Linked DNA regions of Rattus norvegicus. The protein of the gene in region 1 purifies or fractionates together with the protein of each later gene. This does not show direct contact. Links are inferred from orthologs where the notes say so. Each region holds a gene or a part of one and is shown in the gene's direction. Other genes may lie near its edges. The genes, in order: Casp8, Faslg, Nlrc4, Tnfaip3, Tradd and Birc2.

Region 1 (4,051 bases):
GCAGTAGCAATTGTAAGGCAGTCAGACAATATGATCAAATGCACAGAACAGCTGATTATACCTTTTCCAGACCGAGACCCAGAAGGCTCGTGTGCTGTGTGCTGTCCAGGGTGCTGTTTTGCTCTCCTCTCATTAATCATTTGACCCTGTTCTTTAATTGCTCATCAGCAATAAATAATCATACCTGCTGTGGTGGGGTAGCCCGACTACGAAGTATCTACCACAACTGGCCCATTCGTATGGGTCTTGGATTACAATCTGGTGGCTTTAGCAGACGCATCCCTCACTCGGGAACCCTCCAGGTAGCAGCTGGATTGTGTTGGTGACATACTGGTCTGGTTTAACCAGATTTCACTGGTTTTGTGAAACACTGTTTTGGTGTGGTTTGACAAAATGTCCCCCGTAGGTTTGAGCACTTAGTCCCTTGCTAGTGGCGGTACCTGGGGGGAGGTTGTGAAAGTGAGTCTCTGGGAGCAGCCTTGAGGTTTTTTATAGCCTGACCATACTTCCTGACCAGCCTTTTAACCCCGCCCCCACCCCGCTTCAGACAAGTTGTTACTCTGTAGCCCAGTTTAAATTGTAGTTCATCACACTGCTCACTCTGAACTCCAAGTATTGGGAAGGAAGTTAGTATGTGGTAAAATGGGATTTTAGTCTTTGTATCTACTTGATGTTCTGGACTCCATAATTCTGCCTCAGCACTGTGGAAAAACATGTTACCATGAATTCCTAGAACACGGCTAGGAGCCAGGATTTCTCCAGTGTGTGTACTTCCGAACGCTTCAACTGCAGGCCCGTGTGACCCTAAGAACAGCCTTATAATATGATCTTGGTGGGGAGACGGGTCCATGAGTTCAGTGCTGAGTTCAGACCATGCCACAAAGTAAAATTTCTCTTTCAGCGTCTCCCTTGACCATCTAACTTCACAGTGTGAACCAGGCAGTTCCGTTCTGTCTCCCTTGCTGGTTTTTTGATTCAGTGCGAAATCACTTTCTTCTTGTAGTTGGCTCCTTTGAACTGTGTGTGTGTGTGTGTGTGTGTGTGTGTGTGTGTGTGTGTGTGTGTGTGTGTGTGTGTGTGTGTGTTTCCAGTGTCTCTGGGCTAGCCTGAACTTACCAGTTCTAATCTTCCTGCCCCTACCTCCCTGAGTGCTGACATTTCTAGAGCTGGTTTACCCATCCAGTCACAAGGTATAGGGTTTCTGTATGCAAGGAGGTGGGGTTAGGGTGGGGGGAATGAGGAAGTGTCCTTAAGAACTGGCGGGCGCTCCTAAGGCGGGCAGAGAGAAGCAGCCTATGCCACCTAGTGATTATCAGAAATTAGTCATTTCTGCTCCTTAGTTCTCTCAGTTGCCTTTCTCCTCCCTCTGACCTCCGGTGTTTTATAGTTCCGCTTCTTTGAATCCATAGTAAACTTTGGCGGACTGGCCAGGGAACAGGAAGTGAGCCCGGCTAGCGGCAGCCGGAGGCGGAGAGCGTCTCCCAGGGGTTGCTCGCCCGAGAGGGGAGCTGTGACTGGCGGGGCAGGGACTCGGCGACAGGTGAGTGCTGCAGAGTAGTCCGGTTCGTTCCTCTCCTACCAGCAGGCCGCGATCCCAACGGTGGCAATCTAGCCTGACGCTCCCCGAAATGCGGCCATCGGAGTACGGTCATCGCCTCCTCCAGAAAACTTTATTCGATTTCTTAGGCTAACTTTCTTTGTAGTCCGGCTCAGGACCTAGAGCCAGGTTAATTATCCGGTGGCATCACTGTGTGTTCTCTGACTTGCGTTGGGTTTCCTCCGGCGATTTTCAGGCTCCTCCCAACTCTTAAGAGACGTCCCCCAACCCTAATCCCAAATCCTCTCTCCCTTTCTACTTCTCCAACATCTCCCCTCCCCTGTTCTCTCCCCTTTCTTCTCTTTGCCTTCCCCTTTCCCTTCCTCCTATTCTCTCATTCTCCCCCACCTCCTTCCCCTCCCCTCCCCCTCTCCCTCCCCTCTCCCTGACCCTTTTCCCTCTAAGATCTGGCCTCGAGCTTCTTGAACTTCTGATCTTTCTGCTTCCACCTCAGGAATGCTGGCAGTGCAAGGGGTGGGAGTGACAGGGTACCAGCTCTGCACTTAAAACCACAAAAACAGCAAGGGGGCTGGGGAGAGGGAGAGCTAGAGGTGGCCTGAGGCCAATAATTCCTCTACATGCTAAGCAGTTATAACAGTGACTGTCATTATGTACCAGTGAGGAATTATCATACTGTCATATTTCTATTTCTTACTATTTTTTAAAGGGAGTCCTTTAAGTGCCTTCTGCTTGGCTAGGTCTCAGTTTCATTCTTTAAAATGTATTTATCTCTATTTTAATTTAATGTCTATGAGTGTTTTGCCTGCATGTATGTATGTGCACTTGGTGTCCAGGGGGACCACAGATCTCTCGAACTGGAGCTACAGACAGTTTCAGTCACCATATGGGTGCTGGAAACTGAACCCAGTTGGTCTGCAAGAGCAGTGAGTGCTCTTAAACTCCTGAGCCTTCTCAACACCAAATCTTTCGTTTTTTTAATAAGCATGGTAGTAATCGAATTAGCATTAGGGTGATTAGCACTCCCCTTTCTCACAAATCCTATTTAAGAAGGCCCAAGCACTCATATGTGGACACGGAAGAGCTGCTGTTCATGGCTGTATGCCTCAGTGTCTCTTCCCCAGTGGGGAGGAATGTGACACCTGGGGTCATTTAGGTGTTATTCGGTTTTGCCTGGTCATTTCTGTTGTGGGTTAAGTCCAGGAACTACCAGGCTTTCTCGCACAGCCTGTACAGCAAGCATGGCCACTTCACTCGATCAGGCTGCTTTTTTTTTTTTTTAATCTTTCAACTTAAAATTCTCTAATAAGAAAGTGTGCATCTTCTTGCTTTATTTACCATTCCTCAGATTTAATGTGGCATCCTATGATCTGTGTGGGCTTAGTGCCCATCGGGGAATTCCGCGTTCATACCCATTGCCTCTTTACAGAGTTTCTTTTCATTGATGATTTTCAGGCTGCTGTTGTATGGTTCAGGTGTTACTGTGAAAGCTTCAGTTGCTACCCTCAGGAAGTTTGTGGTCTTGAACAGGAAATTCTCAGAAGTGAGCCGGAACTGGGGCAGAGGTTTCAGAAGATGCTGGAGTAACTCCGGGAGTGGATTGGGGGCACAAACAGGATTTGATTCTGCTGCTCCAATGTTGCCCAGGTTCCTGGCAGAATCAAATGCCAGCTAAAAGTCCTGATATGGTGGTGTCACCTTTGCCCAGACCTTGAGGGTGGACACGTACTTTCAGGTGACTTATTCAGTTCCCTCAGCTGTAAACTTGGGGCCCTTTACTCGGAAAACTTACCTTCTATTTTATTCTGTGTTAGGTAGCAGAAAACACAGTTTCAAAGTTCTTTTCTCTTTCTTCTCTTTAACACCAGACAGTATTTTAACTAATTCCCAGCAAGCAGCTTATGTGTTTGTACACAGGTTTGTTCACATGGTGAAGGGCCCAGTGTTTGCCTCTTTGGTGAGATGGCTGTAGGAAAACCTTTGATTTTAGGTGGGTGTTTTTGGTGTTGTTGTTTGTTTTTATTTTTGTTTCTAATGGCTGTCAGTGGGAACTATGGAACTAGAAGCAGGGAGAACACTTCTGTGTAACAAGAAGAGTCAGCTGTGGAAGTTGCAGACGCTCGAAGCCCAGGACCCCAGGCCCATCAGAGGTGAAGTACACTGGGGGCCTCTTTTTACTAGTTAATAAAAATTTAGAAATTCATCTCTTTTTCTTTTTTTATATTCTAAAAGCGAGTCAAATGAAAGTTTTTCAGTTATATCCATACGATTTTTTTTAAATCCATGTGTTTTGTTTGTTTGTTTCGGTTTTTTTTTTTTTTAAGATTTATTTATTTTATTTACAGATGGTTGTGAGCCACCATGTGGTTGCTGGGAATTGAACTCAGAACCTCTGGAAGAGCAGTCAGTGCTCTTAACCGCTGAGCCATCTCTCCAGCCCCTCATATGATTTTTCTAAATTTCATAGATAATCAGTTGTAATGTCTCCCCTTTTGC
Region 2 (2,381 bases), on another chromosome or scaffold:
AAAGTCCGCGGGGGGGGGGGGGACTTGTGATGTAGATCCAATGGGAGCAGCAGACGGTGAAATGATGATCTATTTCGAGCAAGAGGAGACAGTCTTGGCATTTGTGGGCTTTCAGCCTAAGATTATAAAGTGAAAAAGTGGTTTAGTACAATTGCTATGAGCCCCTCCACTAGGAAAATAAACATCCAAAATGTGGGTAAATATCACAATAAGAGGTCTAGCATGGCTCTTGTAATCACTTGGAGACTTTAGAGAAGTCTGGGTCTATAAACACTTATTGAGTACTTGCTGTGTGTTGGTCCATTTAATCCTGTATGAATACAAAGGAAGGGGATTAATCCAAAAGAAGAGGCCAAGGAATCCATACTAAATGAATGGACTACATAATCATGAGACTTTGTCCAGATGTAGAGCTCCAGAGATCCCTTTCTTTATGGAGGGGTCCCTAAGCCCGGAAGTATTGGTACTAGTTTAGGTCATAAAGTGTTTATTACAAAGTACTGAAGTTATCCTAATAATCTTCCCCGAGTTTCACTTGAGGCACACACCGAATTTGTCCTAAACACATGGATGATTAAAATGAGGTGGGGAATTTGACAAATGTGTTGAAGAAACTCAGCGGTGGACCATGTTTTAACTCCTAAGTCACTCGCATCAGCTGTCATTCTGGTTAGAACTTTTGTTAAGGGAGGCCCCACAGTTTTGCCTTGGAAGCTTAGAGTGTCAGATATGTGAACATTTCTGGCTGAATGCTCCTCTCTGGTTTATTACAGGGAACCCCCGCTCAAGGTCCATCCCTCTGGAATGGGAAGACACATATGGAACTGCTTTGATCTCTGGAGTGAAGTATAAGAAAGGCGGCCTTGTGATCAATGAGGCTGGGTTGTACTTCGTATATTCCAAAGTATACTTCCGGGGTCAGTCTTGCAACAGCCAGCCCCTAAGCCACAAGGTCTATATGAGGAACTTTAAGTATCCTGGGGATCTGGTGCTAATGGAGGAGAAGAAGTTGAATTACTGCACTACTGGCCAGATATGGGCCCACAGCAGCTACCTAGGGGCAGTATTTAATCTTACCGTTGCTGACCATTTATATGTCAACATATCTCAACTCTCTCTGATCAATTTTGAGGAATCTAAGACCTTTTTTGGCTTATATAAGCTTTAAAGGAAAAAGCATTTTAGAATGATCTATTATTCTTTATCATGGATGCCAGGAATATTGTCTTCAATGAGAGTCTTCTTAAGACCAATTGAGCCACAAAGACCACAAGGTCCAACAGGTCAGCTACCCTTCATTTTCTAGAGGTCCATGGAGTGGTCCTTAATGCCTGCATCATGAGCCAGATGGGAAGAAGACTGTTCCTGAGGAACATAAAGTTTTGGGCTGCTGTGTGGCAATGCAGAGGCAAAGAGAAGGAACTGTCTGATGTTAAATGGCCAAGAGCATTTTAGCCATTGAAGAAAAAAAAAACCTTTAAACTCACCTTCCAGGGTGGGTCTACTTGCTACCTCACAGGAGGCCGTCTTTTAGACACATGATTGTGGTATGACTATACAAGGGTGAGAAAGGATGCTAGGTTTCATGGATAAGCTAGAGACTGAAAAAAGCCAGTGTCCCATTGGCATCATCTTTATTTTTAACTGATGTTTTCTGAGCCCACCTTTGATGCTAACAGAGAAATAAGAGGGGTGTTTGAGGCACAAGTCATTCTCTACATAGCATGTGTACCTCCAGTGCAATGATGTCTGTGTGTGTTTTTATGTATGAGAGTAGAGCGATTCTAAAGAGTCACATGAGTACAACGCGTACATTACGGAGTACATATTAGAAACGTATGTGTTACATTTGATGCTAGAATATCTGAATGTTTCTTGCTAATAAACTCTAATAGTCTTCAAAACCCTTTTATTATCAGCTACTGATGCTGTTTTCCTTTAATACACTAGTATTTATGTTCTGTGTATCTTAATGAAGAAAAGACAAATAAAATTATGTTATAGAATATAGAGATGCATTAAGGACACAGGCTTTGGAAATCGGTGAGATGTGCTTATTGTTTCTTTCCTGCGTGGTTTCTTCATCCATAATGGCTTTGGAGAACTCTGAGAAGAATTTGCACAGGTGAGTAGAGCCGTGTGACAAATTCCCCCATCTTCGTTGGTATCTCTTCTCTGGACCTCACATTACCCTGAGTTTTGTTTATCAGCATCATGACTAATGGTAAGTGGACCCAACTCTTTGTATATTTGATGGCAGCTCATATTTTCCTGGGGCAGAACTATGACAAAGTAGAAAGGACATGGGCTTCATAGTTAAACGGCTGAAGTTGAGTCTTTGTCCTTTTTCTTAGCTTACTTTGCAGTCTTTGGTTGACCTC
Region 3 (4,180 bases), on another chromosome or scaffold:
CCCAGCTCTGAAAAAAAAAAAAGAAAAAAGAAAAAAGAAAAAAAGAAAAAAAGAAAAAAAGAAAAAAAAGAAAGCAGTTAATTGGGGCTGGCTTACAGTTTCAGTGGTTCAGTCCATTATCATCGAGACAGCGCGCAGGCAGACATGGTGCTGGAGAAATAGCTAAGACTTTTACATCTGATCAGCAGGCAGCAGGAAGAGCGTGGGGCAGTGGACCCTGCCCCCAGACGGAAAATCTGGTAAGGTCGAGTGGATTCAGAAACCCCAGAAAGTCTCATAATTGAGGGTGGTAGGAGTTTAAATCTCCTCCTGATCATGTACCAGTCCTGGGATACATGACTACGACACACCATGGAGAAGACTGTGAGATTCAGTCACGTAAGGGCAGCACCTGAAGCCCCTCCACATGCAGATGAGGCTTCCCTAACATCTCAGACCAAGCCAATAGAAAACCTCTGCCTTTAGACCCCACCCCACCCCAAAATGTTTATAAGACCCTAATCACAAGGAATAAAGTGCGTGAGTTATCTCATCAAAGACTCTGAGAGTGTCTGTCTTATCAAGCTGTAGCACCCTAAGGGAAGAGGATTCCCCCCTGAAGCTTTTGTTGCTGGAAGCTCCTTGAGCCTACTGCAGCCACTTCCTGTTTTGTGGCCCTGACCTAGGCTCCTGGCTGCCTGCTGTGGCCTGCTGCAGCCTCCAAAGAAACCCAGCAGCCTGACTTGTTCCCCCTCCCCCTCAAAGAGCTGCAACTCTTTGGCCACTCCCACTGGGCCAGAGCCCCACAGATCCCCTTGGATAGCACCCAGGTACATGACTGACAGAAGAGAGAGAAGACACAGAGTTTTTGAAACCTCAAAGCCCACATTCGAATCCTGCACTTCCTCCAACAAGGCCATACCTGCTCCCACAAGGCCACACCTCCTGATCCTTTCAAACAGTTCCACTTCCTGATGACTCAGCATTCAAATATATGAGCCTACGTGTGTGTGTGTGTGTGTGTGTGTGTGTGTGTGTGTGTGTGCGCGCGCGCGCACGCGCAGAAGCCGGAGATCATGTCCGGTGTCTTCCTCAATTACTCTCTATCTTTTTGTTCCCGACAGAGTTTTTCACTAACCCTGGCACCACTGGTTAGTGAAACTAGAGGCCAGTGAGCCCATCTCTACCTGCACTCTATGCTAGGGTCAGATTTTTACGTGGGTGCTGGGGATAAGAAATCAGGTCCTCACTCTTCCACAACAAGCACGTCAGCCTGTGAGCGATCTCCCCAGACCCTGAGCAAGTTTTAGATAGTTTGGGTGTCACTCTTCATGTGGAAGAGCAGCGCTGCCCTAGTCACAAGCAACTTCAGCCTTTGTTTTCCTTTTGTTAGTTTCTTAGGATAGCCTTACCTTACAACATTATGATCGTCTTTGGCCTTCCTGTTTGGAAAAGAAATACCTTCTACTGAGATCAAGAAAAGTGGGACGGTTTGACTCACCACAAGTAAGTATTCAATAAGCAGCATCTGTCTAGTTTATTATTATGAGATTATTGATAGTTCATTGATGATATTAAATGGAAAAGCGATTCACGCTTTCGTCTGACGAATTATCTGTGGGCTTCTCAATTAAATATTCTATGTTGTCTTGAGAATTCGTTAAAAACAATATGGCGAGCTTACGAAGAAAGGCAGATGACAGATGGGGTAAGGCTTATGTAAAGAGTGACCAAGTGGGCTAGAGAGATGGCTCAGCGGTTAAGAACACTGACTGCTCTTCCAAAGGTCCTGAGTTCAATTCCCAGCAACCACATGGTGGCTCACGACCATCTGTAATGGGATCTGATGCCCTCTTCTGGTGTGGCTGAAGACAGCTACAGTGTACTCACATAAAATAAATAAATACATCTTTAAAAAAAAAAAGAGTGACCAGATGATACCAGCTTTAACCTGTTCAATCACAGACTTGCATTTAGATTTCAGAAAACTATACCCAATCACTTCAGAGAAATGGCACAGACATGAATGCTTCTGAAGCTCCCAAGTTCTGTTTCCATTTTGATCCCAGTGTTGACCTGTGCTCTCCAATGTAGTACCCACTAGCCACTATGGCCATTTAATTGCAAATTTAAACTTAAAATCGAATTTGACATAAAACCCAATTGCACATGAGAACATAGCATCACATACCTAGGGTCTCAGCCCTTGGGACCTGAAGACGTGGGATCACGAGTCAGCCTGGGATGTATAACAAGGCCCTTAAAGCAAGCAAACAAACAAACAACAGCAACAACAATGAACCCAAGCAAAATTCAGTTACACATTCATTCTTATCGCATATCAAGTGCTCAGTAGCCACCAGCGGCTAATGGCTCTCACAAACCATCCCTGGCTAATCATGTATGGCTAATAGAGCTCACCCTGGGAAATGCAAACAAGAATGTAGACCATTGCACAATGGTCCACCGCGAAGTGCTAATCTAGAGGCAGATATTCTAGGGAAAAAAAGAATAATTAATGAACAGGCTTTCGTGTGTGATCAAAAAGGATCCCAGTCATGGGCACAAATCATGATTAAGAACAACATCTTGCCAGGCATGGTGGTGCATACCTTAAATCGCAGACTTGTAAGGCAGAGGTAGAAGAAGCTCTGTGAGTCAAAGTCAGCCCGGTCCACATACAGAGTTCCAGGGTAGCCAGGGCTACAAGAGAAACCCTGTCCCCTAAACAAACAAACAAACGAATGAACAAACTAACATCTTTAGTTACATGACATCAAAGTCATTAGTTACTACCCATCCACTAGTTACAGCATGGTTAGTCTTGACTGTATCTTACAGCTCCATGGTTAAGTTCTATAGAATTGAGGTAATCCACAGCTAGTAATAAGATTATCTTATACACAGAATATCATAGTATACATATGGTTGCATAGTATCCTTTTTAAACATTAAAACGCGCACACATACACACACGGCTCATACATCTTACTCGTTTTCTTTGAGAAAGGTCCTTCTGTGTGTTTCTGGCTATCCTGGAACTCACTATGTAGACCAGGCTGGCCTCAGCCTGCTAAGTGCTGGTATTAAAGGCATGTGCCGCCACACCAAGCACATCTTTTTTCAATATCACCAAGTTTTTGTTTTTTTTTTTTTGTTTTTTTTTTTTTTTAGGGCTAAGAGAACTTGGTGTCTTCATTTTAAAGTGAGACGATACCTAGCTTCAGAGGCAGTCCACACTAATGGGCAAGAGGCTGCAGGCTTCTCAGAGACTTGCGTGCCTTTTGCCATAAAACGAAAATCTCCAGTAAACACAGACATATCTATCTTCTTAACAAAGATGCAGAAGCCACAGATATGAGTGAGACTCCAGGGGGCAGCAATGGGTCTCCCTCAGAGGACTTGCAGACAAGTGTGGACAGCTGTTCTGCTGTCTTTAGCAGTGGGGATCGCAATGGGGGTTAGGGGGTGGGGCAGGAGTGATCCCTGAGGGTTGGGCTGCCTGAGTATAATTCAGACTGGAGAGGACTTGAATTCTTTGAGAGAGACATCTTCACTCTCCAATCTCCAGTCATGAGGCATGTAAGGGACAAGCCTACAGTACAAAGAGAACTTGTAGTCTGAGAGTGCAAGACAGGGAGAGGGGCCTCTGATGTCACAGACGGTGTGTACTACATACAGTATCTGGGCACAGTTTTGTCTGTATTTGAGAGTTTGGCTCAGAATTAGGCCAACAGGTTCAATGGTAGGGAGTTTGCCTCCAATGCATGAGGTTGTAGGTCAATCCCAAACCAAACCAAATCAAACCCCAGTGTAGATTAAGGCATTGCAGAGGAAGAAACAAAAAAAAAATGGTGTAGCCTCTCTAGAGACTAAGAGAAACAAGAGCTTAGACTGAATACTGTCTAATACTTTGTAGAGATCTTTAAAGCTTGTGAGAGCTAAAACACCTACTCCTTTGAGTTGTGGTAGGAAGACAAGAAGTGAGCATGATAGCCAGCATGCTGACACATTCATGACTTTGTATGCAATGCCAGGCATCAGTTCTCCTTAACAGCTCCCTGGGTTACACAGAGTGTGTTCCCTGGTTGGTTCTCACTGGAAAAGTGCTAGATATTCAGATTTTTGTTAGCCAGGGCGCATCTATGGTTATCTAAAACTGGGACTGGTGGGAATATTGAATCCTTCATGGGGCTCATTA
Region 4 (4,125 bases), on another chromosome or scaffold:
TGTCCGAAGCTGAAAACATCTGTAAGAAGACAAATATTACCAGATTTGAAATAGAAACGGTGTAGGGAGGGATGTGTGTGTGTGTCGGGGGGAGGTGGAGGGATATGTGGAGGGGGTGGGGGGAGTTAGCGGATAGACCAATCTTGGAGTAGTGGCCAGTACTCTTGCTTCAAGCCCCCCTTTACAAATAATAATTTAAAAAATGCCATTGTGCTCTGTCACCTAGCCCAGTCACTCCTGGGGACAGGAACACATGTTTCTAGTTCAAACGTGCAGTATACTTCCTGGCAACTTGGCAACTTGACGAACATACCTAAAGTCACAGTGGCACGGACTATCTGCCTGGTTTGCGTTACTGTTTTCTAGGATTTCGGCCAAGGGGACACTAGAGGAAAAACTCCAAGAAGGTAAAAGCATTTTAGCATCTCTCTCTCTCTCTCTCTCTCTCTCTCTCTCTCTCTCTCTCTCTCTCTCTCTCTCTCTGCAGAGCTCAAGCCCCTGTGTCCGAAGCTTTCTCCCTTCTAGAGAAAGGCAAGCTGTAGTCGGGGATCAGGACAATATGGAAGGTTCTCCACCAGTGGCTTCTTGGGGTGAACTAATTCTCAGGCAAACCAAACAACACCTAAGAAAACAACTGTAGAGGATGGGGGGAGACAGTAATAAACTTGAAGCACTTTCTAAACCTTAATGCTCCTTGGAGCACGGAAATAAAGGAGAAACGGAGCAAATGGAGGGTTGTAGGGGTGATGGAGGTGAATTTAATTTTCTCTGAATTTGACCTTGCCCCTGTAACTCAAAAACTGCAGGATCATGGTGTCTCATCTCACTCTGCATTGCATCCAGCCTGAAGCTGACACAGGGTCTGGAGAACCCTGTGGCCTTTTCTCTCAATCCCCTCAGGACCCTGAGAACGGTTCTTTCTTAAGTCCATCACGTGCACAGCCCAGACTTCAAAGCCGGCTTCATGCCTGAGGTCCTGTGTGTCTGGGTGGTTTTTAGGGTTTTCTTTCTAATTTCCCTTCCTTTTCACAGCTGATTTTCTTCAGAAAAGAGGCTATAAAAAAGAACCTATTGCATTTCCAGTTCCCATCACCACTATTTCCACATGGATGTGACGTGGAAGGCAGCTTCCGAAATGCCCAGGTGACTCACGCGGGGACACCCCGGGGCGGGACCTAGGAGTTTCTCCGGGCGGGGCGGGGACGGCCTCGAGCGCCCTCTGCTGGCCGGCCGCTCGCCATGCGGGAGTCACGTGACTGGAAAGTCCCTCGGAAATCCCCCTGTGGCGAAGCATACAACTGAAAGGCAAAAAAAGGGAACTGCCCAGTCTGCAGCCTTCGGAGCCGGAGGCGGAGCGGTGAGCTAGGCCGCCGAGAGACGTGCACACCCCCAACCAGAGAGCCCGACCGGGCGTCCATGGGGCTCCGCCTCGGCCCGACCCCCACCACGACCCGAACCACGACCCCCGGCTACGGCTCGCGCCAGTGACGGCTGATCGGCCACTTGGGCTCTGCGAGGGCTCCGTGCGGCCCCAGGAGGTGAGCAGTACTCCGGCTGGGGTGCACGGCTAGCAGGATACAGGGGGGGTGGGTGCACGGCCAGAGGGGTGCAGTGCCAGCCAGATTCAGGGTGCACGGCCAGCTCAGTATGGAGCTGTCTTGCTATGGCTTTGCAGGAGTTCTGGGGTGAGGGTATTGTTGGCCAGAGTTGAGGTCCGGGTGCCAAGTGTTTAGGTTGACAGCCCTAAGTTTCTCCAGCCGTCTGGTTAGCTAGCTATTCCTTTCCGATCCTGCAGGGTGACGTGAGCTGCAGCTGGCTGATGAATAGTCACCCTTCGGGTCCCTAGGTCGTGTGGTCGTGGGTGTACCCACTCTTCCAGCCCCCCCTTTGGAAATCAAGTGCAGCATGTTCATAGGCACGTAGACCTTGCAGAGTCGCGCTGGGGTTTCTTCCCATATTGTGCATTACTGGCCCAACAGGGGATGGTTTTCTCAGAGGCCACCAAATCCAACTTGGAGGCTTCAGCCAGCCAACTTTTTAGTGATCAATGTGGGAGGAGGGTTGCGGGGAGGGAGGTGGAGGGGAGGGGCGTGCTTTGAGATTGCCACTAAGGCCCTAGTTGCTCCGGTATAAGAGTATGCATGCAGAAATGATTCTCTGGCCTGCTTGCTGGGGAGTCCACGTTTGGTGGCATGTAAAACTCCCTACTGCAGCCTTGACTCCACACTCAGACTGTGACTTGTCAGTCCGGGTCCTTCGTCCCACATCCTGCCACCTGGCCTCTCAGGAAAGCTGAGGTATTAAGAGCTCTTTCTGGAGCATGCTTTGTTTTTAGTTCTCCTGTTCTCTCATCTTTCTTTGGAAAGCTGGTCTGGTCAAGTGGAGGGGGGGGGGCACCGTTTGGAACTGATTATTGTTCATTAGCCTTCCATACGCTGATGTCCTAGATTATTGAGCAGATTATTATCGGTTGATCAGGGCTCATTCTTGTGGTCTGATATGCTACTTGGATCTTTTGCAGCTCGTTGTATAGATTTTTGGAGGGGTACTTCCCAACAATTGCCCGAGGTATCTGTTTATAAATAATACAGAAGTTTCCACATCGCGGGCAAAAAAAAAAAATCTGTTCAGAGTGGAAAAATAAAAGTGGGGGAAAGACTTTGGTGAGTAAGTTCTGAAGAACCTTATTGATCCTGTGACAAAAATTGGGAAATTTATCTGTAAGGGAGTGAGGTAACAAATATATTTTTAAAAGTTAAGGGTAGTGCTTTAATTTTTTTTTTTTACCCATAAAACATTACAATGATATGTCAGGAAACTTTATTCTCTAAATGTGGGGAAGTCCAAGAACTGGAAACTTGGGCAGAGGGAGGTTTAAGCTCTGTCTTAAATAGGCACTTTTGCACGCAGTGCAAGGCAGAGTCCGTGAACGGGGTCTTAGTGGGCTGACAGATACTGACCTTTGCATGTCTTACATATGGCTTAGAGCCCCCGCCACTTTTAGATCTATGCTAAAAGTTCTTGAGGTCCAGAAGAGCAAAATAGAATAGCCATAAAAATAGAACAAGGTGCAGCTCACTGATGCAAAACTTCTCCTTGCCTGTTTCTGAGAGCTGCAAATGCTGTACGCCAGGGTTGCTATCAGGAGACCAGCAAGGGATTGAGATGGGGAATAGGAAGACTTGGCTTATGAGCAGAGCTGCATCCTTACGTCTGCTGGACCTGAGATGGGTCTGACCATCACTGCCTTAGCTGCAGGGGTTGTCTGACAGATATCAAGGCTAGGAGTGAAATCATACATTTTTAGCTATCGCATCAGGCACAAGGGTTGGCCTTAAATAGGTGGTCCAGCCTTGCTGCTTGCATGCATCCATTCATGGATGGGGTGATGACATTGTGAGAGAGACCATGCTATATCACCAAGGAGATGTATGTGTGGTAGTTTTGTCCCATTCTGTCTATGTTTCTGCCTAATTCTACTTGCGAGGCGCAACTGTCATCAGGCACAGAGAATAACTTCCAGGCCTCAGCATCCCAATGCAAATTCCCAGGAGCAGCCCCTCCCTTCCAAGCAGGGAACAAGAACTTACGATTTCTTTTCCCTCTTGCATAGTCTTAACACCGTTTTTATTTTAACCTGGTGAGTTTGCATTGGAGGATAGTATGGTGCCGGAGTGGCATTAAGCTTCGCTGAGAAATTTCCTAGGTGCTCTATATCATTTCTGTCTTCTAGGAAATTAGGATGTGTGGTCAAGTGCCCAAGGAGGGTCTGTGAGGACAGTGAAGCAGACCTGGATGGCCATTGATCCACATTGGTCTCTCTGCATCATCAGTCCACATTCGTGCATAGTTGGCGTGGGTGGTCATATGGCCAGTCTTCGTCCTGAGTGGTACCCCACTCCAATACTTCCTGTTCGTTTCCTGATTTCATTTCCTCCACCTTTGATTGCGCTCGATCTTTTATGGTAAAGGAAGGAGGGTGTTGAGGTCTCTGAGCATTGGGATCTGGAAGGGCAGCCATAAATAAAAGTTGGTCTAGTTGAGTTAAAGTCATAGAGCGCGCTGGTGTCTGTTCCCCCCCCCCCACCTCTCTGGGAGGTGTGATATACCTTAGTATCCCTCTGT
Region 5 (4,102 bases), on another chromosome or scaffold:
GCAGTCTAGATGATGCCCTGTCTAGGTGATTCTTAACCTTGACCAGAGCCAGAGCTCTATTAGAGATTTAGAAGCAGGATTGTGGCAGGAGATGGATGGAAATGATCTTCGTGTTGAAAGACTCTGTTCTAGTGTGGACAGTTAGGAAATTTGTTTAGGGATAGTTGAAGAAAACAAGGGCCTAATAACAAAGTAGAATGATTTAGCTTACATAACTGAGCAGTCAGGATGGTCAGGGATAGCTGGATCCGTAGTTAAGCGTGTTTGTCCTCAGCCAGGCATGGCGGCACATGCTCTCGGGAGGCAGGGGCAGGGGCAGGGGCAGGGGCAGGGGCAGGGGCAGGGGCAGGGGCAGGGGCAGATGGATCTCTGTGAGTTAGAGGCCAGCCTGGTCTATAAAGGGATAGGGAAATCTTGAAACACCCTCTCCCCCGCCAAAAAGTTTGTGTCTGAGATGGAATGCACAGTGTAACAGTTAAAAGAACTGTCAGTTCTTCCAGAGGAACCCGGTTAGATTCCCAGCACCCATGCTGTGGCTCACAGCCATTTGTAACTCCAGTCTCAGGAAATCTGATGCCCTTTTCTGGCCTTCATGGGCACAGCCATGCATGTAATACATAGATCATACAGGCAAACCTTGGGAAGGAATCAAAGCGCGTGGATCTCTGTGAGTTGGAGGCCAACCTGGTCTACCGAGTGAGTTCCAGGCCAGCCAGGAACTAGTCCATCACAGACATAGACCCTGTCTCAGAAAAACAAAAAACAAACAATCCAGCCAGGAACTAGTCCATCACAGACATAGACCTTGTCTCAGAAAAACAAAAAACAATTGTGTCTTCATCTCTTGACTTTATTTCCTTCCATGTAGACTTCTTCCTTCCCTCAGATAGGTTCTTCCTAAGCAGGAGCCAGAGATCTATTCTGTCCCTTTAATTCCACACCAAAGATGGGGAAGTTAGTGCCTCTTTATCAGTGGTCCACCCAGCAATACAGAGTTGAGTGTCATTAGTCCAGTCTGAGCCCTATATCAAGTTCTGACTGGGTCCTGAAGAGTGGTGAACAGGATATGTAGACTGACCAGCCTTGCTTTTCACATTTGAACTTGGATCTAGGCAGGGACAATTAAGTGGAGCCAGGTATAGGGGGAGCGTGGGTGGTCCTTTTGTCCTGCAGAGGCTCTGGGAACTTAAGCTGAAGGCAGAGCTAAGACACGAGTCCGGTAGTCTGGCTGGTTTTGGAGCATGCGCACCATTCAGGTGGAAGATACCTTTTGTCAGCTTTCATAAGAGAAACATACTGGCCTAGGACCCACCTCTGTTCTGCTGTTACTGTGACCTTAGACTTCTTGTCAAAGGCAGTGGAGGGATTCATGCCTGGGTTGGGCAGGACTATGAGCAGAGTCAAAAGCTGGGAACTCTGTGGAAGGACAGCTGGACCACATGAGACTGGATAGTTGTTTCCAAGTCTGGAGATGATCTATTTGCATCTCTAGGAGGCAAGATGGCAGCTGATCAGAATGGCCATGAGGAGTGGGTGGGCAGTGCATACCTGTTTTTGGAGTCTTCGATGGACAAAGTGGTCCTATCTGAAGCCTACACAGATCCCAAGAAGAAAGTGGCAATCTACAAGGCTCTGCAGGCTGCATTGTCAGGTGTGTGTGGCTGGGAAGGTGTAGTGACTCTGGGACTTTGTAGGAGGGACTGGGATTGAGAGCCCACTTCTTTGCTTTGTGGTTTAGGCTCAGACACTCTTTAAGAAAAAGATTATTTGGGTGAGGGGTTGGGAGAGGGATGAGGAGAGAGGGAGCACTCCCGGCTGTGTGGGGTCTGCAATCTTCCTTTGCTTATTGTATGTGTCATTGAGTGTAAACATTTGTACACTTTCCTGTGCCTTCCAGATCTACCCATTTCTCTTCTAATGTCAGCTTGATTTACATCTGTCTTTACTTCTGAGCAGCCAGTTCTCTTTGCTACTAATTGCACTTTTCTGTCTTTTCTTCCTCTCTCACGGCAGCATTCCTTGCCCAAACTCCTCCCCAGTACCTACCCTTTCCGTTCTCTCTGGGCAGAGAGCAGTAGAGGCTGAAGGTGGGGGTTGGGAGAATAGGCCGGACTACGGGCTTAGCTTCCTCCTCTGGCTGCTGGAAGAAAAGTCCTGTTTGGGGACAGCGGGTGGCCTGACTGATCGCCTCCGCAGAGAGTGGGGACAGCCCCGACGTACTGCAGATACTCAAGATCCACTGCAGCGACCCTCAGCTCATCGTTCAGTTGCGTTTCTGCGGGCGCCTGCTATGCGGCCGCTTTCTCCAAGCCTACCGCGAGGGGGCGCTGCGCACCGCACTGCAGAGGTGCATGGCCGCGGCGCTTGCCCAGGAAGCAGTGCGGTTGCAACTGGAGTTGCGTGCTGGTGCGGAGCAGCTGGACAGTTGGCTGACCGACGAAGAGCGCTGTTTGAATTACATCTTAGCCCAGAAGGTGCTGGTGTCTGTAGTTAGGATGGGATGGGTGGGGATTTGCGGCCAAAAGCCGCACTTACTGTGCACCCCTTTGCGCAGCCCGACCGGCTCAGGGACGAAGAACTCGCGGAGCTGGAGGATGAGTTCTGCAAACTGACGTGTGACTCCACTGGCCAGGGTGGAGCCACACAGGTAGCTCCAGCAGGTTCGAAGTCCCTGGTTTCCTCTCCGGCCGAGGAGAAGCCACTGCCGGCCGCCGGCCAGACTTTTCTGTTCCATGGTCAGCTCATAGGTGAGGTTCACCAGCAGAAGCGGGGTCACCAGCAGGTAGATCTGAGCCGGAATAGGGCTGGGCCCAGGTATCCCCAGGCGGGTGCGGGATGGTGCGAACTCCGGGGAACCGATGCTTACTTACCTCTCCTCCCTTCCTCCGCAGTGAACCGGCCACTGAATCTGCAAGACCAGCAGACATTCGCGCGCTCAGTGGGCCTCAAGTGGCGCAGGGTAGGGCGCTCGCTGCAGCGTAGCTGTCGAGCACTGAGGGATCCTGCCCTCGACTCGCTGGCCTATGAGTATGAGCGTGATGGGCTATATGAGCAGGCCTTCCAGCTGCTGCGCCGTTTCATACAAGCCGAGGGCCGCCGTGCCACACTGCAACGCCTAGTGGAGGCGCTGGAGGAGAACGAGCTCACTAGTCTAGCAGAAGATCTGCTAGGCCAGGCGGAGCCGGAAGGCGGCCAGGCTTAAGTCTAGTACTGTGGGAAAGGGCCACTGGTCAACCAGTTCAGCCAGTGTTTGGAACCCACTGGGGACTGTTGGGGTCCTTTTACTGCTGATGTTGCTACTGCTGGCTATTTGCCATCCACTGGACTCGGAGAACGTACACACTCCCCTACCTAGCTGAGCTGCTGGAGTGAACTAACTGCCCCTCCCCCTCCCCAGGAGCCAGGCAAGCACCGCAGGGGTACAGAAAGAGGACTTCCTGCAGAAACTCACTAAGAAACTGGACCTTCTGAAACCTAGATGTCATTCAAGGTGCTACAAAAACTGTCACGAGCAGGATGCACGATTTTCCCTGCCCTTGGCTCATTCTCATCGTGGGACCTAAGTACTTGGCAGCGATAATAAAATGTAACCCTTTTATAGACTTGTGGAAATACTGAGGTCTAGCCCAGGTTGTGGTTAGTCACCTTCAGGGGAATAGTGAGCCAGGTGGAGAGGAGAAAGGGGCAGGGTTTTGGGTACAGTAGGCTCTGTTGGGGCCTTGAGGAAGATGAGAGGGGTTCTTCCTGTCTTCTTAGTGAAGGATACCAGGGGTTTGGTGAATCACTCTATACTTGGGGTTTGGTTTGTGCGTGTGATCTTTTAAGTATGTGCTTAAAACATCTACGGTGTGCCTGAATTAGAAAATTAAAATTACAGCCAGGCGGTGGCGCACGCCTTTAATGCTAACATTGGAGGCAGAGGCAGGTGGATCTGCTACAGGCCAGCCTGGGCTACCGAGTGAATTCCAGGACAGCCAAGATTCCAACACACACACCCCCGCCTCTCCCACCTTTTCTACTGAGGTCATTGGCCTTGTTTCCACGGAGACTGAAGCATGTAAGACTCAGACATTTTACATAGCATGTGGCATTGAGGATGTCG
Region 6 (4,216 bases), on another chromosome or scaffold:
TAGCCTTGTTTCAGGCCTCTGTGTTATGGGCATTTGTACTCTTTTGGTTTTGAGACGCTGTCTGTGGTAGTTGCTTTGGAATTGTTAGGGAATGGTTGTCCTTCACGGATTCCGTTAATGAGCTCTTCCCGGTGCCTTTATTGTGGCCAATTAAGTCCTGGCTAGTTCAACTGTTCTGTCTAGCAGGAGCATCTCATTCTTCCTACCTCCATCTTCCAAGTGTTGAGATTAAGATTGCAGGCATGCCTCGGGAATCCTCAGGAAATACTTATATTTTAATATAAAATATCTATTATATTGTTTATTTTATATTGTATTTATGTATTATATCCACATATTTATGTGTATGAATATATTTTATAATACATTATTTGTATTTATATTTTAATTTATAGTTTTAATATAATATAAAATATATAATTTTTTTCTTGTGATTAAACCTAGGGTCCTTTACCTGCAAGGCAAATATAGCAACAGTCCTTCAGACCCATGTTTTCACTATTAACAGGTGCCTTTTGTCTCCAGTCAAGTGCTAGATCAAAATAGCTTTAAATCAGAAATCAAAAGGAGCCTGTTGGTAGCCTGTTCCTATTACTTGGGAGGCTGAGGCAGGAGAATTCCAAGTTTTAAAACCAGTTTGGGTTACATTGACTTTCTAGCCAGCCTAGGCTGCTGAATAAGACTCTGTCCCTTAAAAAATGTTCATTAAGTATGGTGCATTTTTGTCTAATAGTAAATAAAAAATACATAAAATGAACAAACTTGAAATCAGGGACCAATTTTTGTCAAATGGAAATGTGCATTTGTTTTCAGTTTTGCTTGTTAAACAATACAGCGCTGTGCACTTTAAAGACAGGCATAGTTAGTACTTCAGGAGTACTTTCGCAGTGTGTGCCTTGATTTGGAGCCTTTCTAAGTAGACTTGGGAGAGGAACTGCTGTAGTTGGATGTGTTATCTAGAATGGCCGTTTTTAGACATTATTGAATAAATTGAGGAGGACAATTCTGTGCAATTAGTTTTCAAAAATATCTTTTTTTCTTTCAGATTTATAGCCCTCAAGAGCCTTTATGTTCTCCCATGTTCCCATAGAAATAAGCCCAGACATGAAGATCTGAACATTTTTATAAGAAGATGCAGTTTGCTTGGAGTACACATACACAATGAATAGTTACATAAAATCCTGAGTTTTCGAAAAGAAGACGAGTATGGTACATTTGTGCAGCAGAAAAGCCGTGGTGAAACAGGGTTCTTGTATTTGTGATAACAGAAGAAAGCCATGTCTCCAATTGACTCATTCTTAATTATAATAGACTTATAGTGAATTGGGCCTTAAACACTGGCAGACTTTATAAAATGCAGTCTAAGATTATGTACAAAATACTGTCTGTTGACCAGATGTATTAAAATGATAGACACAGAATTAAGGTGGTGATATATGAGATTTATATAACAATGAGAGAGTAATAGTTTATGCTTTAAGCACTGTTTATTTATAACAAATCCTGTAGTCTTAGTAGAGCTGTGCTGACTTCCCTGGAAGTTATGCAGTTGATGTAACCCACTTTAGAGAGTCCTGTGATAATGATGAGCTGTATGACATTAGTTCTGAGGAAATACAGGATGCAGACTTCAGGTCCTTTCCTTTGCTAGGAAAAGAAGTAGTTCAGACATCAGATTTAAGTCCTTAAAGGGAAAAGAGCCCGCATATATACAGTCAGCAGTTGCCCTATAACTAATAACGAGAAGTAGGTTCTGGGTCTATAGCTCTCGGGTTACCCAGAAGAGTTCATGTGATTTCCCAGAGAGTCCCGAGCAGTGTCTTGTCATATGAGACAGATTTGTCCTGTGAGTGTGAACTCATCAGTTCAGTCAGAAGACCGTGAATGTGTCCAGTTAGCTGTCTGCTGTCTCATTCCCGTCTATGGTAGAGATCTTGTGTGAAGTAGTGAGGAGCTTCATATGGAAGTTTAAGCTGCCAGAAATACTATTACTATTCCTGCACAGAACTCTCCCAGAGACTTGTCCAGGGTGCCTTACCCCAGTAAACTAACGGTATAATGGAGAATAGCACAGTCTTGTCAAATTGGACAAAAGAAAACAAAGAAAAAATGAAGTATGACTTTTCATGTGAACTCTACAGAATGTCCACATACTCAGCTTTTCCCAGGGGAGTTCCTGTCTCAGAGAGGAGTCTGGCTCGTGCTGGCTTTTACTACACAGGTGTCAATGACAAGGTCAAGTGCTTCTGCTGTGGCCTGATGCTGGACAACTGGAAACAAGGGGACAGTCCCACTGAGAAGCACAGACAGTTCTATCCCAGCTGCAGCTTTGTGCAGACTTTGCTTTCAGGCGGTCTGCAGTCTGCAGCTAAGAACACGTCTCCTGCGAAAAGTAGATTTGCACACTCGCTACCTCTGGAACAAGGTGGCATTCATTCCAGCCTGCCCTCAAACCCTCTCAATTCTAGAGCAGTGGAAGACTTCTCGTTGAGGATGAATCCCTGCAGCTATGCCATGAGTACAGAAGAGGCCAGGTTTCTTTCTTACAGTATGTGGCCATTAAGTTTTCTGTCCCCAGCAGAGCTGGCCAAAGCAGGCTTCTACTACACAGGGCCTGGAGACAGGGTGGCCTGTTTTGCCTGTGGTGGGAAACTGAGCAACTGGGAACCGAACGATGATCCTCTGTCAGAGCACAGGAGACATTTTCCCCACTGTCCATTTCTGGAAAATACTTCAGAAACGCAGAGGTTTAGTGTATCCAATCTCAGTATGCAGACACACTCTGCTCGGATGAGGACGTTTCTGTACTGGCCATCGAGTGTTCTTGTTCAGCCTGAGCAGCTTGCAAGTGCTGGATTTTATTATGTGGATCACAATGATGATGTCAAATGCTTTTGTTGTGATGGTGGCTTGAGATGTTGGGAACCCGGAGATGACCCCTGGATAGAACATGCCAAATGGTTTCCAAGGTAATTGGTTCTTTTTGTTTGTTTTCAAGACTGGGTTTCTCAGCGTAGCTTTGGAACTCACTCTGCAGACCAGTCTGGACTTGAACTCAGAGAGATCTACCTGCTTCTGCCTCCTGAGTGCTGGGATTAAAGGTCTGTACCACCACTGCCAGGCTTGGTAATTGGTTCTTAAAAACTTTTAAAATTTGTTTATTATTGTGGTATGGAGGATTGAACCCAGGGCTTCACATCTGGTTGACAAATTCTCTTGCTTACATCCCTAACCTCTTAATTTTTATTATTGCTTAGAATAAATTTAAGAGCACAGTTGTTAGTGAAATAAAATTGGAATTTTTGTATTTGACACTGATCAGCTATGTGCAGTTGGACCTCATTTTTAAAATGAATGGACTGTTAGGTGTTTTTGTTATGTTAAAATACACATAAAGTTTACTAATTTAGCCATCTGAAATGTATTCTTCTGTGGTGTAAAGGACACGAGTACTGTTTTAGAGTCACCCCCAGAGCCCTCATCCTCTCCAGATGAAACATCCTCTACACTTGCACACACCCCCGGCACCGACCCTTCTGCCTGCTATATCTGAACCTTCCTACTCTAGGTACTACATCCACAACGTATATAAGTGGGAGTATACAGTAAAGAGAGCTTGGACCCCTGCATGCCGTCCATGGTAATGAGGAATTGTTGGACTCTTTGAGGGAGTTACAGGGACCTTTCACTTCTGTATGGTCCATGATGAACAGGAATTTTGATTTAATTATTTATATTGGATCAATACATTGTTAAACAGTAAATAGTTATATGATGGGCCAGGTAATGCACCCACGTCCACATGCCTTTAATCTCAGCCACTGGGAGCAGAGGCATGCATTCTACTTAGCAAGTTCAGGTCAGCTAGGAGAGTATAGTGAGACCCTGTCTCCAAAATAAAATTATCATGAACTATGATCAAAATTTTTGTATGTCAGGTCCAATGTAGTGTTAACATTCAGGAGTCTGATACAACTTTTGAAACCAACTTGGACTACTTAGAACCGTCTCAAAAACCAAAACAAAAAGATAGATTTTGATTCCTTTCTTTTGTTGTTCTGAAAACTGATATATTTAATTTACTTAAAAGTGTTAATTTTGTCTAGATGTGGTGGCACACACTATAATTCTAGCAGTTTGGAGGCTGAAGCAGTTGTCCAGTCAACATTAACTTGGGCCACATTGTGAACCCCAGACCAACTCAGGTGGCAAGACT

Evidence for each region.
Region 2: the proteins of Casp8 (region 1) and Faslg purify together in Homo sapiens (co-immunoprecipitation; 8 studies listed by BioGRID and IntAct, with this or other methods). This does not show direct contact. The link is inferred for Rattus norvegicus from reciprocal best matches to the Homo sapiens genes CASP8 and FASLG.
Region 3: the proteins of Casp8 (region 1) and Nlrc4 purify together in Homo sapiens (affinity purification with western blotting; 3 studies listed by BioGRID and IntAct, with this or other methods). This does not show direct contact. The link is inferred for Rattus norvegicus from reciprocal best matches to the Homo sapiens genes CASP8 and NLRC4.
Region 4: the proteins of Casp8 (region 1) and Tnfaip3 purify together in Homo sapiens (affinity purification with western blotting; 3 studies listed by BioGRID and IntAct, with this or other methods). This does not show direct contact. The link is inferred for Rattus norvegicus from reciprocal best matches to the Homo sapiens genes CASP8 and TNFAIP3.
Region 5: the proteins of Casp8 (region 1) and Tradd purify together in Homo sapiens (affinity purification with western blotting; 6 studies listed by BioGRID and IntAct, with this or other methods). This does not show direct contact. The link is inferred for Rattus norvegicus from reciprocal best matches to the Homo sapiens genes CASP8 and TRADD.
Region 6: the proteins of Casp8 (region 1) and Birc2 purify together in Homo sapiens (affinity purification with western blotting; 4 studies listed by BioGRID and IntAct, with this or other methods). This does not show direct contact. The link is inferred for Rattus norvegicus from reciprocal best matches to the Homo sapiens genes CASP8 and BIRC2.

The regions. Positions count from the first base shown.
Region 1 is NC_086027.1:67,756,770-67,760,820, forward strand, and holds the start of Casp8 (caspase-8), read left to right. Parts: upstream 1-1,251; 5' UTR 1,252-1,540; intron 1,541-4,051. UniProt on the Homo sapiens protein: Thiol protease that plays a key role in programmed cell death by acting as a molecular switch for apoptosis, necroptosis and pyroptosis, and is required to prevent tissue damage during embryonic development and adulthood.
Region 2 is NC_086031.1:76,687,743-76,690,123, reverse strand, and holds the end of Faslg (tumor necrosis factor ligand superfamily member 6), read left to right. Parts: intron 1-773; coding exon 774-1,168; 3' UTR 1,169-1,881; downstream 1,882-2,381. UniProt on the Homo sapiens protein: Cytokine that binds to TNFRSF6/FAS, a receptor that transduces the apoptotic signal into cells. Involved in cytotoxic T-cell-mediated apoptosis, natural killer cell-mediated apoptosis and in T-cell development.
Region 3 is NC_086024.1:26,745,759-26,749,938, forward strand, and holds the start of Nlrc4 (NLR family CARD domain-containing protein 4), read left to right. Parts: upstream 1-1,380; 5' UTR 1,381-1,484; coding exon 1,485-1,485; intron 1,486-4,180.
Region 4 is NC_086019.1:15,541,180-15,545,304, reverse strand, and holds the start of Tnfaip3 (TNF alpha induced protein 3), read left to right. Parts: upstream 1-1,325; 5' UTR 1,326-1,538; intron 1,539-2,093; exon of another isoform or gene 2,094-2,297; intron 2,298-2,521; exon of another isoform or gene 2,522-2,663; intron 2,664-2,674; exon of another isoform or gene 2,675-4,125. UniProt on the Homo sapiens protein: Ubiquitin-editing enzyme that contains both ubiquitin ligase and deubiquitinase activities.
Region 5 is NC_086037.1:50,045,557-50,049,658, reverse strand, and holds Tradd (tumor necrosis factor receptor type 1-associated DEATH domain protein), read left to right. Parts: upstream 1-1,500; coding exon 1,501-1,651; exon of another isoform or gene 1,652-2,196; coding exon 2,197-2,474; exon of another isoform or gene 2,475-2,554; coding exon 2,555-2,747; coding exon of another isoform or gene 2,748-2,782; exon of another isoform or gene 2,783-2,866; coding exon of another isoform or gene 2,867-2,891; coding exon 2,892-3,202; 3' UTR 3,203-3,602; downstream 3,603-4,102. UniProt on the Homo sapiens protein: Adapter molecule for TNFRSF1A/TNFR1 that specifically associates with the cytoplasmic domain of activated TNFRSF1A/TNFR1 mediating its interaction with FADD.
Region 6 is NC_086026.1:13,268,741-13,272,956, reverse strand, and holds the start of Birc2 (baculoviral IAP repeat-containing protein 2), read left to right. Parts: upstream 1-1,416; 5' UTR 1,417-2,058; coding exon 2,059-2,969; intron 2,970-3,050; exon of another isoform or gene 3,051-3,101; intron 3,102-4,216. UniProt on the Homo sapiens protein: Multi-functional protein which regulates not only caspases and apoptosis, but also modulates inflammatory signaling and immunity, mitogenic kinase signaling, and cell proliferation, as well as cell invasion and metastasis.